3 linked regions of the Xenopus tropicalis genome follow. The protein of the gene in region 1 purifies or fractionates together with the protein of each later gene. This does not show direct contact. Links are inferred from orthologs where the notes say so. Each region holds a gene or a part of one and is shown on either strand. Other genes may lie near its edges.

What was found.
Region 2: the proteins of polr3k (region 1) and pdrg1 purify together in Homo sapiens (affinity purification with mass spectrometry; 3 studies listed by BioGRID and IntAct, with this or other methods). This does not show direct contact. The link is inferred for Xenopus tropicalis from reciprocal best matches to the Homo sapiens genes POLR3K and PDRG1.
Region 3: the proteins of polr3k (region 1) and polr2e purify together in Homo sapiens (affinity purification with mass spectrometry; 5 studies listed by BioGRID and IntAct, counting the BioPlex papers as one, with this or other methods). This does not show direct contact. The link is inferred for Xenopus tropicalis from reciprocal best matches to the Homo sapiens genes POLR3K and POLR2E.

The regions. Positions count from the first base shown.
Region 1 is NC_030685.2:40,340,910-40,344,662, reverse strand, and holds the start of polr3k (DNA-directed RNA polymerase III subunit RPC10), read right to left. Parts: upstream 2,264-3,753; 5' UTR 2,230-2,263; coding exon 2,119-2,229; intron 1-2,118. Other genes in the region: snrnp25 (U11/U12 small nuclear ribonucleoprotein 25 kDa protein), read left to right, coding at 2,433-2,453. UniProt on the Homo sapiens protein: Core component of RNA polymerase III (Pol III) which synthesizes small non-coding RNAs using the four ribonucleoside triphosphates as substrates. Can mediate Pol I proofreading of the nascent RNA transcript.
Region 2 is NC_030679.2:29,859-33,611, forward strand, and holds the start of pdrg1 (p53 and DNA damage-regulated protein 1), read right to left. Parts: upstream 2,742-3,753; 5' UTR 2,711-2,741; coding exon 2,621-2,710; intron 2,353-2,620; coding exon 2,277-2,352; intron 1,514-2,276; coding exon 1,439-1,513; intron 1,164-1,438; coding exon 1,083-1,163; intron 827-1,082; coding exon 744-826; 3' UTR 1-743. UniProt on the Homo sapiens protein: May play a role in chaperone-mediated protein folding.
Region 3 is NC_030677.2:100,197,333-100,201,085, forward strand, and holds the start of polr2e (DNA-directed RNA polymerases I, II, and III subunit RPABC1), read right to left. Parts: upstream 2,200-3,753; 5' UTR 2,190-2,199; coding exon 2,133-2,189; intron 1,923-2,132; coding exon 1,748-1,922; intron 1,650-1,747; coding exon 1,534-1,649; intron 1-1,533. UniProt on the Homo sapiens protein: DNA-dependent RNA polymerase catalyzes the transcription of DNA into RNA using the four ribonucleoside triphosphates as substrates.

The sequences.
Region 1 (3,753 bases):
GTCAACTATGTCTAGACCCTCTTCATTTCCTAAAGCAGGTGGTGCTCGCGGTGACCCACCAAAGTGCTTCCGTTGTGGCCGGTTGGGCCATATATCCCCACACTGTCCGACGCAACGTGAAAATGCTGCAGCTACAGAAGTTATTTCATATGGCTGTGCTGTGAGGAAGCCACCCCAAAAGAGGTATCGGAAGAGACGTAATCAGGTGAGGTGTTACACCTGTGGTTGGTACGGTCATACTTCCCACACCTGTGACTGGGGACGGAATGAAGACTTCACTGATGTATATGTGACATCTTTCCCATGTGAAGTGAATATTTGTGAAGAGAAATCCTGTGGCACGAGGATGGTCTCTGAGCACTCTGGCACCCCCAATAAAAGTAAGAGACTGGGCCTGGGAATGCGTAGACCTTCAGGCAGGGGAAGTGTCAGGGCAGTTAGTGAGGAAGCTTTCCCCTGTGTATCTCCCCCAAAGGTTAGGGAGAATAAGAATGGTGAGAAAGGGCAAGCGAGGACGTTGCCCATTCAAGCAGGGGGAGAATGTAGGGAGGTAGTGCTGGGTCCCTGCACTTACCCCCCTCCTGCTGCTGTTCCCTGTAGGGGAGCTGGCACTGAGACTTTGTGCTGTGAGCTGCTGCCTAGCAACAAGGTGAACAGCAAGCTCAGGGCTGCCGGAAGTTGCAAAGCAGCCTGGGAGAGGAAGTCAGTGGGAGGAGAGAAAAAGCCCCAGAACTCCAGAAGCTGCACGTGGGCTCAGAGAGAGGAGCAGCACAAGAAGAAGCTGGCCTTTGGAACAGGCTGGTACAGGGAAGGCAGACCCTGTACCTGGAGAGACAGAGATCCTGTGAGGAGTCCTGACTGGAGGAACAAACACCTGCAGGGGAATCCCATCTGAGTAGCTAAAGGGGCTAGTAGTCGCACTGCATGGCTGTGAGTGCTGGACTCGCCTGAAGATTCTGTGTGAATCACCCAAAGAGATTCCTGGAGTGAGTATCATTAAAGTGAAAGTAATAAAGGAGCGCTTGAAGATTTAAACTATATAAACTGTTTCTTTTGGGACTGAGCTAAAGGACTGTACATAGTTAGTGAGACAGCTTGCGCTGGCAAAGCTAGTTAGTAAGGCCCTTATTGCCACTTGGATAGGAGTGTTATCTGTATTAGTTTCCCCTTTATTTCAGATAAAAGTTATTTCGTTTATCAAGTACTGTGTGTGCATTATTATTGTTCCTAGTGGGGCCACCCGTAGGTGCACTCCAGGATCCCACTAGGTGGAGGCACTGCGCTAATAAGTACCAGGTACCCAGTCTCTCCCAATACCACTGCGGAGTGATTCAGGTTTGTCCCGTGCCATCAGGTAAGCGCCACTCGTGGAGTGTAACACTGTCAAAGGTGCCAGAAGTGGTGAAGATAGGGTTACAGTATTTCCCCTTAAAGTTTGTCAAATAAGTATCTAGCGGTCAGAACTCCCTATGTATTAATATATATTCAAATGTATTTATTTAGATATTATTTATGAAAGTGTTAGGACACATTTTATAATATATATTTATGATATTAGTGTGCTTTAGCAAGGTAATGCACTTCCACAGGGGAAGTGATTGTGCTGTGGTGTTCTGGGTATTGTGAATTTAGGGTTAAAAGTGTGCCCTTCTATGATGATTTGTTCCCAGAAGGGTAATAGCCAAAAAGGAAGAAAAGCAAGACCTTGGCCACAAACTAGCAAAAATCAGACAAAAAAAAAAATCACAGGTCATATGCGTATATTCAAATGTTCATTTTGGGGGGTGGGGGTAGCAGGTGTATCTATTTACTATGCATTTTATTTAGTATTTATCATAAAACATAAATGATAAGATCACCTTTTTAACTTTGTAAGTCTATTAAACTTACACAATTTAGAGCTAAAAGCCCCAGCCATTACCAGAATATGTTGTTAGCAATTTATACAGATTCATCCCGCACTTAAAAATCAGCGCATTGTACTGTTGCTAATGTAATGTTATCTGCCAATTAGCAATGCTTGGCATACACAAGGCATAAAAAGGCTTCGTAGCCACCAGGACTACACTTACGCCGCTTAAAACCATATTTCTATCACTTCAGAAGACCTCATTATACCTTGCGATTAACGTTGTGCACATAAGGGCAGGTATTACAGGCAAACCTGTAGCACTTCTGTCCCTCCTCCACGATCAGCACATTCCCACACGTCGGGCAAAATAGCAACATTGCTGCTAACAGATTAGCTCAAACTTCGCATCAACCACTTCATCCTCCAGACGCCAGTACCGCTGCCTAAGCAGAATGATCACCACGCGTTTGCCCTAGCCTCGCATTCACCTACATTACATCTTATTGCGCACGTTTCCGCCCGGTGATGACGTCTTTAATGGGCGCCCTAGAAATCTGCGACAGTTCCATTTGTAACTTGAATGAAACGGTGTGAACTAAAGGTGGGTAGTGGAAATTGCGTTGAAAAACTTAACTCGAAATTCTAAATTTCTACATTTAAGTCCAGCTCCCAAAAACTGATAACACGAGAAGAGCAATTTTTGCAAAGCAAAAGCAGAACTAGAAGTCTTGCAGCCATTTAAGTTGAAAAGGAGAAAAGGCACAGGTTTGGATATCATATAACATATATGCTCTGTAATAAAATGCAGTGGTGGTATATTCGTGTTAATCTGGTATCTGCTGTGTATCCTGTGCCTTTCTCCTTTTTTTATCTTGAAGTGCTTCCTCCATGGCTGCATAGAAGCTTGTTTATATAAACTATTTATATTCTTATTTATATACGGCTGATGCCGCATGGAAACCCGCATGCAGATAATCAGTCCCTCCGCTGACAGCCTCCTACCTTGCCTGCACCAGAAACTATTGGGCTGGCCTGGGTGCAGGCACACATGGCAGATATCAGCAAAGAAACTGTAAATTTAGCATTTTAGAGTGGATATTCATATTGTATGCTTGCACCTGGGCCAACGCAGTGGTTTGACCTGGAAAAGTAGGAGGCTGATGCCCAAGGAACTGATTCTTGGCCTGTGGTTTTTCATGTGCTGAGAATCAACCCCACATGGTATAAGCATTACAGTACTTATGTACGAAGCACTGTACAGCAGAGCATCTAATTGATAGAACCAGGGCCACCATCAGAAATCGCGTTCTTATAGTAAAACGGTGGTGTGTATTTCTTTTTCTCAGGCTTTGACCAGTCTCTCCTATATACAGTCCTCCTGTTCAGTATCTAGTGCACTGTATTAAGTACACCATATTGGAAGAAGAACAGTTGTACTGACCATGGATGTTGTATTCCTCTAATGTGTCTGAAATCTGAATTACAGATGTGTGGGCAGGTTTTGCATTGTTTTTTTGCCACAGGGATAAGTTCCTTTTTTGTTGGGTTGAATTAAGGCACTTCTTGTTATTAGTTGTTTTAGGTTTGGGGGCTGCCTGAATGCCAGAAGTGGTGGGTCTGGGAATATGTTTTGGAGCCTCTCATCCTTTTGAGGTGTACACTGTAGATCCTTGGCTATTTTTCTGAGGGTCTTTTGTTGGGGATCGTATGTGACAACTAGAGGAATTCAATTTATTTCTGTTTTTTGTTTGTATTGTAGAAGTTGACTTCTGGGAATCCTGGTGGCTGTATGGATATATTGATCCACAATCCTTGGGTTGTAGCCCCTGTTAATGAAATCTGCCATGAGTGTTCTTAGGTGGTGGTCCCTTTCAGTAGCATCAGAACATATTCGATTATAT
Region 2 (3,753 bases), on another chromosome or scaffold:
ACGGGCTCATGGTGACCTGCCAGCACTTCTGTGACTGTGTCACTAGCAGCTCAGCAGCAATGGGGTTAATCACTTATTCTTTACTATATAATGGGGTACAGATATTTACGCACAGTCCTGACAGGTACCCTAGCTTTATTCCCTCCAACAAAGCAAAGACTGGGCCCTGCAGGGGGCCACCACAAAGCCTGCCATGCAGAGCCCATCAGATATAACGTGTTAAGGAGTGTTAGAGTTATAGGTACAAAGCTCAGATAAGATGGTGGATGGGGATTCCCAGCTCAGTCCAACCTTTGTGTGTGCCCTCCAGCTAGTGGGGCCTCAGTGAGCCACACCCATATGATTCAAATAACATCCGGGGTGCAGGCGTGAGCCCCAAGGATACCAGTGGGTAGAGCCATCCAGTCTATGCACAGTACAAATACACAGGATTGTGGGATGAACTGAATCCAGTTAGAAAAGAAGCAGTAGATAAATTAACCCCTAAATATGGCAATTGCACCTTGCTCCTCAGAATTAAAGGCTAAGTGTCTTCTAAGTTGCACTGTACATAAATCCAAGGAACAAGGAGTTAATCAAATTGTAATGAATTAGAGGTTCTGCACCTGGGGGTAACATTCATGTTGCACTATAAGTTCTTTCATCTGATTCAGATAGATCCGTACTGTAGGAACTAAAGTCCCTGCGCTGTGAGGGCCCAAGATAAGGATGATCTGCCCCAAATGCTGTTATCTAGCAGAGCCTCATTCTCCCAGCGCCTTCTGAATGGATTTCATCTCTTCTGTCGAGAGTGCCACCAGGTCGAAGCCTTTTAGCTCTGGCTTTCCTGCCAACAGAAACACGAGAGTCTTGGTGCCAAGCCAGAACCAATAGTAGCAATGGGGTCATCCTGTGCGAACATGAACCTCAGCACTAGGGCCAGCCTGTACCCATGTAACTCTCACTGTGTGGGTACAAGTCTGTGTTATTTGGGGAGCACTGCTCACCCTACTGATGGGCTCAGAGAGTATCAATAATGAAACTGGGCCAAATTTGCATCATTGGTGGGGGGGTGTCTAATAGATTGTGTTATTGAGTCTCACCTTGGGCCTCGTACAGCTCTTTCACCTTCACTTTCAGCTCCCTGCGAAGCCCTGAAATCTCTTTATCCAGCTGCTCTTGGTCTGTGGGAGAGAATGGTACAAACACACATTGTGATTCCCCTTCCTGCCATCAACCCCGCACTCACTCTATGTACCCCCGCACTCACTCTATGTACCCCCGCACTCACTCTATGTACCCCCGCACTCACTCTATGTACCCCCGCACTCACTCTATGTACCCCCACACTCACTCTATGTACCCCCACACTCACTCTATGTACCCCCACACTCACTCTATGTACCCCCACACTCACTCTATGTACCCCCACACTCACTCTATGTACCCCCACACTCACCTCGCTCTATGATCTCCTTGGTCTTGCTCTTGGGGAGCTCTATGAACATGTTCCCAAAGCAGACAGTTACCCTTCCTACAAGCACAGACAGAAAGGAACCCATTGGGGCACTTAACAACTGTTCTTTCTCAAAAAGGAATGACAAGCTGGCAGCACAAAGAGTTCAGACCGTTAACCCAATCCTTGCTCAGTTGGAGCATTTTTGATCCCTGCAACCTGTGCTAACTTAGTAACATGAACTGTAACACTCACCGGTACACCCTGGCCTTGGCACATACATTCTGCCTGGTGCTGAGTATCGAGTGATTGGCAGCCTTTGCTGTAACATAAACACGGGCACAACACGGCTGTTTCATGAACCCTGCTAGTTTACGGGGTGCAAACCATGTAATGTTTGGAAGTCGCATGAAGGGGCGCACCCCGAAACTGTACATGGTTTGCACCTAATAAGATAGCAGGGTTCATCCCGCTGAAACAGCCCTGTTGTGCCAGTATTTATGTTTGTTCTAAATGAGTCACATGACACACATTACGGGGTACCATCACTTCCTTCCTGTCTCCAGCAGTGGCTTTGGCTTCCAGACACCAAGGACCCCTTGGCTGTGGGCAATAGAGTGTAGCGCTAAGGGCTGGCTTTTTCCCTGGAGTAGCCCTTTCCTCCCTGCAATCTCACCCTCACTCCCCCCCATAGCGTATTGTGCTGCCTACTTACCCTGCTGGCAAGGTGCAGCCCCCCTGTGCCTCTTACCTGCTGGAGAGGGGTCCTTGCAGCCCCCCAGTGCCTCTCACTTACCTGCTGGAGAGGGGTCCTTGCAGCCCCCCAGTGCCTCTCACTTACCTGCTGGAGAGGGGTCCTTGCTGAGAGACCTCAGGGCTTCTCTGTTCTGGTTTCTCTTTATATCCAAATCCACAATCTGGGACAGAATGACACACAGTTATACAGAGCAGTGACCCTTACTACCCAGCGGTGCCCATGTTACCCCCGGCCCCATGTTACCCCCAGCCCCCCGGCCCCATGTTACCCCCGGCCCCCATGTTACCCCCGGCCCCATGTTACCCCCCGGCCCCCATGTTACCCCCCGGCCCCCATGTTACCCCCCGGCCCCCATGTTACCCCCCGGCCCCATGTTACCCCCCGGCCCCCATGTTACCCCCCGGCCCCCATGTTACCCCCGGCCCCACCTGCCGCCGCTTCCCCAGCACATCCTCCGCTCTCCCCTCCACCTCCTGCAGGTAGGACAACACTCTCTGCGGGCCCCCAAACTGCTCCATGGCAACCACGGCAACCGGAAGTGTGTACTGGGAGCCCACGATGAGCCTGCCGGAAGTGAGTCGCTATGACGCAATCAGCAGGCGCCTGGGAATCTGGAACGCAAAGCTGTACCGGGGAGAGGGAAGGGGGCGGTGGCTTCCCAAAATGCTTCGCTGCTTTCGGCCCAGAGACTGGCGTGGGAGGATAAGAAACCTCTGGATTGGACTCTGCAGAACTGCCTGAGCGTCTGACACTGCGAGGGAGGGGCTACAGGGACCTGCCACCGATTGGCTGTAGCGGCTGTCAGGGCATTCTGGGAATAGTAGTTTTAATAGCAGGAATTCTGGGAGTTAGAGTGAAAGAACAGTTACTGCTCCCTCTGGGAGTTATAGTTTCTCTCTGATTGGCTGCTCTGCCCCTGCTGGAGAAATTTATTAACCAGTAGGAAGGGGCTGTTCTACTGTACATGGGAGCAGGGCAAACCATTAGTAAGGGGCTGTTCTACTGTACATGGGAGCAGGGCAAACCAGTAGGAAGGGGCTGTTCTACTGTAACATAGTAACATAGTAAGTTGGGTTGAAAAAAGACATACATCCATCAAGTTCAACCATAATGCCTATATATAACCTGCCTAACTACTAGTTGATCCAGACGAAGGCAAAAAACCCCATCTGAAGCCTCTCTAATTTGCCGCAGAGGGGAAAAAATTCCTTCCTGACTCCAAGATGGCAATCGGACCCGTCCCTGGGGCAACTTGTACTAAGAGCTATCTCCCATACCCCTGTATTCCCTCACTTGTACTGAGAGCTATCTCCCTTACCCCTGTATTCCCTCACTTGTACTGAGAGCTATCTCCCCTACCCCTGTATTCCCTCACTTGTACTGAGAGCTATCCCCCCTACCCCTGTATTCCCTCACTTGTACTGAGAGCTATCTCCCCTACCCCTGTATTCCCTCACTTGTACTGAGAGCTATCTCTCATACCCCTGTATTCCTTCACTTGTACTGAGAGCTATCTCCCATAACCCTGTATTCCCTCACTTGCTAAGAATCCATCCAGCCC
Region 3 (3,753 bases), on another chromosome or scaffold:
AACATTTTACTACATTAACTGATAATTTAATAATTAAAATATTTTTTCAGATTTTGGCAGTATTTATCCTATGCATAGGAAACAAGGTTTCAACTGGATTGAAGTCAAAAGGGCTCACTTACAAGAAGTAGGTGCAGAATTGCCAATTTTTTTTTTTAACGTCTTTATTATGATTTAGCATGAAAAGGTTACATTCATATTTATATGCAATGACCGGTCCATCCTCTTTCCTATATCATAGGAGAGAAGGTTTATAGTTGTCCTTTACCTTTCCATCAGGCAAATAAAGTGATTCGATCCTGTTTTTAGAAAACGTGGTAGTAGTATTAAGTAATAATCATACAATATTAACTAGTAACTAATTAACTAGTAAACGTCTGCCTTTATCTTACTTGCCAGAGAACATAAAACGGTAACCTGCTTATACTTGGATAATATGACTATGTTAGTTCATCAGCCAGAATTGCAAATTTTAAACAGCATACGCATATGACCTGCACCTACTTGCACCCAAGCCCTGTGCTTAACATCTGGTTTGACCTGGTGTTATGCAGACCCAGGCTGAGATTCAAAATAGGCCCTAATATTTCAAATACACAAAGGCCCAAACAGCAACTGTCTGTGGGATCTTACAGCAGTTCCTCTGGCATTTGCCAGAATCCACAGACTGGCAGTCTGGGCCTGGTGTTAAAGGAACAGTAACACTAAAAAATAAAAATGTTTTAAAATAATTAAAATATAATTTACTGTTGCCCTGCACTAGTAAAAGTTGCGTGTTTGCTTCAGAAAGACTACTATAGTTAATAGAAATAGCTGCTGTGTAGCCATGGGGGCAGCCATTTAAATTGAAAAAAGGAGAAAAGGCACAGGTTACATAAGAAGATACCAGATAAACTGTGTAGAATACAATGGGAATCTGCTACTTAATTGTTATCTGCTTAGCAACCTGTGCCTTTTCTCTTTTTTTCAATTTAAATGGCTGCCCCCGTGGCTACACAGTAGGGTATTTATATAAACTGCAGTAGTGTTTATGAAGAAAACACACAACTTTTACCAGTGCAAAACAATAGTATATAATATATTAATTATTTTTATACACTTTCATTTTTTGGTGTTACTGTTCCTTTAAGCACTGGGCCTCCTTATGCACTCATAGCCAATCAAGGTTGTGGAAGCTGAACTGCACATGACTGACAACCATGTAAGTGTATGCCTATGCTGCAGGAAGGATGCTGCACTGAGGGGTAATATGGCAAATTGCACTTTTTTGCATTTAGCAGATGAGATCTATAGTTTTAATAATAGGTGTATTCCTTTTTAAAGAAGGGTCTTTCAAACTTATCCCATTTTTAAGATAAAAAATAAAGCTTAGGTGTCTTTTGCCAGCAAAACATACAAATCACATAGAAAATTAATTCATCGGAGTAGTATATATTTTATCTGTACATTTTCATTTATAAAAGCTTTGGATCAGAACTGCAGTTCACCCAGTAAGTATGCTTAGGTAAGGTGCACGTTAGCTGGCAGAATTACCTGTTTGGCAGATGGGGTCATTCCCTGCTGCACCACGATTAAAGCCCTCGTAATGTTCTCCTCCTGCATTCTCTGGCAATACATCTTAATTGTCTTAATGCCAACTTTGGGTTCCTCTACAAATAAGACAGGCAAACATGTAATAATCCTTTGTCTGCATGTATAGACCCTTCAGCCAGTCACTGTTTTTTTTTTTTTTTTTGCACCTACTCACCTGGGAAGAAAACAAACATTTGGTCTGTGGGATCATCATTATGAGCTACTAATACAGTCAGGTCAGTTCGGCGAGGGCGCCCTTCGCTAGGTTTGTCCCCAAACTGGGCTTTAAACTCATCCAGTGTCTGATCCAATTCATCCTGCGTTACTAAGTAACCACGGTCATGGCACAGCTGGCGAAGGAAAGAAGGATGCGAGTGAAACAGGTAATATGGAGACAGATGAGGTAAAGCACAAAAGTAAAAGTGACAGGGACGAAGAGTACAGTAGAAGTATATGCTGGAAGCAGAAATGAATGGTACCCAACACAACGTAGCTGAGTTCGAATTACTGAAAAAGGCGAAGATTATAACACAAAAAGATTTAAAACTCAATTTTCTCACCTGCATAATAGTTTTGCGGATCTTCCACAACCGGTAAGTTTCCTCCTCATCGTCCATGTTGTCTCCACGAGACCAAACAGGAAGAAGAGCGCGATTTCCGGAGCTCGGCTCCCTGGGCTGCAGGAGGACCCTACATGGGCTGCCCTCACTCTGCCTGATGGCTACAAGCGAATACTGCTGTGGGGTATCTCTGAGGACGTGTTATTAGCTTAAAACTGCACTGTGGAAAAGGAATAAAGTTGCGCATAATATCGTTTCCCTTTTTTGCTGAAGGTGGCTATTCGGGTTGTAGAATTTGTTCAAGTTTCGGTATCACGCTAAGGAAGACCAAAGAAATTGCATCGTCGCAGTTGAAGGGCTCGGCCATGTTTGTGGTAGGCAAGAAGCCGGCGTACATGTTCTTGTAAAGATCACCATTTTGTTGGTGGGTATTACTACCGTTCCTATATTCATCGTCTTCGTGTATTTATATTGCGTCACATAGTTACATGGCGCTCTGCATTAATATTATAAGTGGCTAAGTTTAAGAGTTAACCCTCTAAAGGTATAGGGATTAGTTATTGGCAAAAGAGGGTGTGGTAATGTGCCAATGATAGGCTAACTACAAGAATTACGTAAACTAAATATTCTTTAGAAATACTTGTTAAACTGTTTTAAGGCGAGCAGTGTTTTATTAAGATTTTTTTTTATTTTTGCCCCAAGCCCCATTTTGATATATAATATTATCTTTATGTATGTATATATATTTTTATTTATATAGCACTACTTATGTACCCAGCGCTGTACAGTAGGACAATAAATGAATAGAATAAACGGGACTATTACAATAAAATAAATACAAAGTATGATAGTAAATACAAGGTAAGGATACAATACGTTAAATTAATACTGTCACGGGAAAAACGTATTTTTTAAAAACATATCTGTTAATAGAGCGTCTCCAGCAGAATCCTGCATTGAAATCCATTTTTCAAAAACACAAACTGATTTTTTTTATATTTAATTTTGAAATTTCACGTTGGGCTAGCCATATTCTTCATTTCCCAGGGTGCCACAGTCATGTGACCTGTGCTCTGAACTCACACTTTACTGCTGAGCTGCAAGTTGGAGTGATATGAACCCCCTCCCAGCAGCCAATCGGCAGAATAATGGGAAGGTAGCAAGATAGCAGCTCCCAGTAGATCTCAGAATTGCACTCAATAGTAAGAAATCCAATTCCAGCTTGTGACTCCTTCAGTTATATGGAAGTAGGAGAAACAATAGGTTATCTGAAAGCAGTTCCAATGTGTAGCGCTGGCTCCTTCTGAAAGCTCAGACTTGCACAATGCTGCTTATAGACCAATATTACAGCTAAAAAAATACATTTGTTGGTTCAAGAATAAAATGTTAAATGGTAGACTGAATTATTTGCTATGTAAATAGTGTAATTCAGAAATAAAAAGTATACCATAAAAATCACAACAGTATCCCTTTAACAATCAAAGAGACAAGAGGGTGGACATCTCTGTTTACAATCTAAATGGGAGGGTAACTTACAGACACAATAGGAGGATATTAGTGCTGCAGGTTAAAGTGGGTGACAATGCGATATAAGTGCTAGTTCCCAGATCAGGTGTTGTAT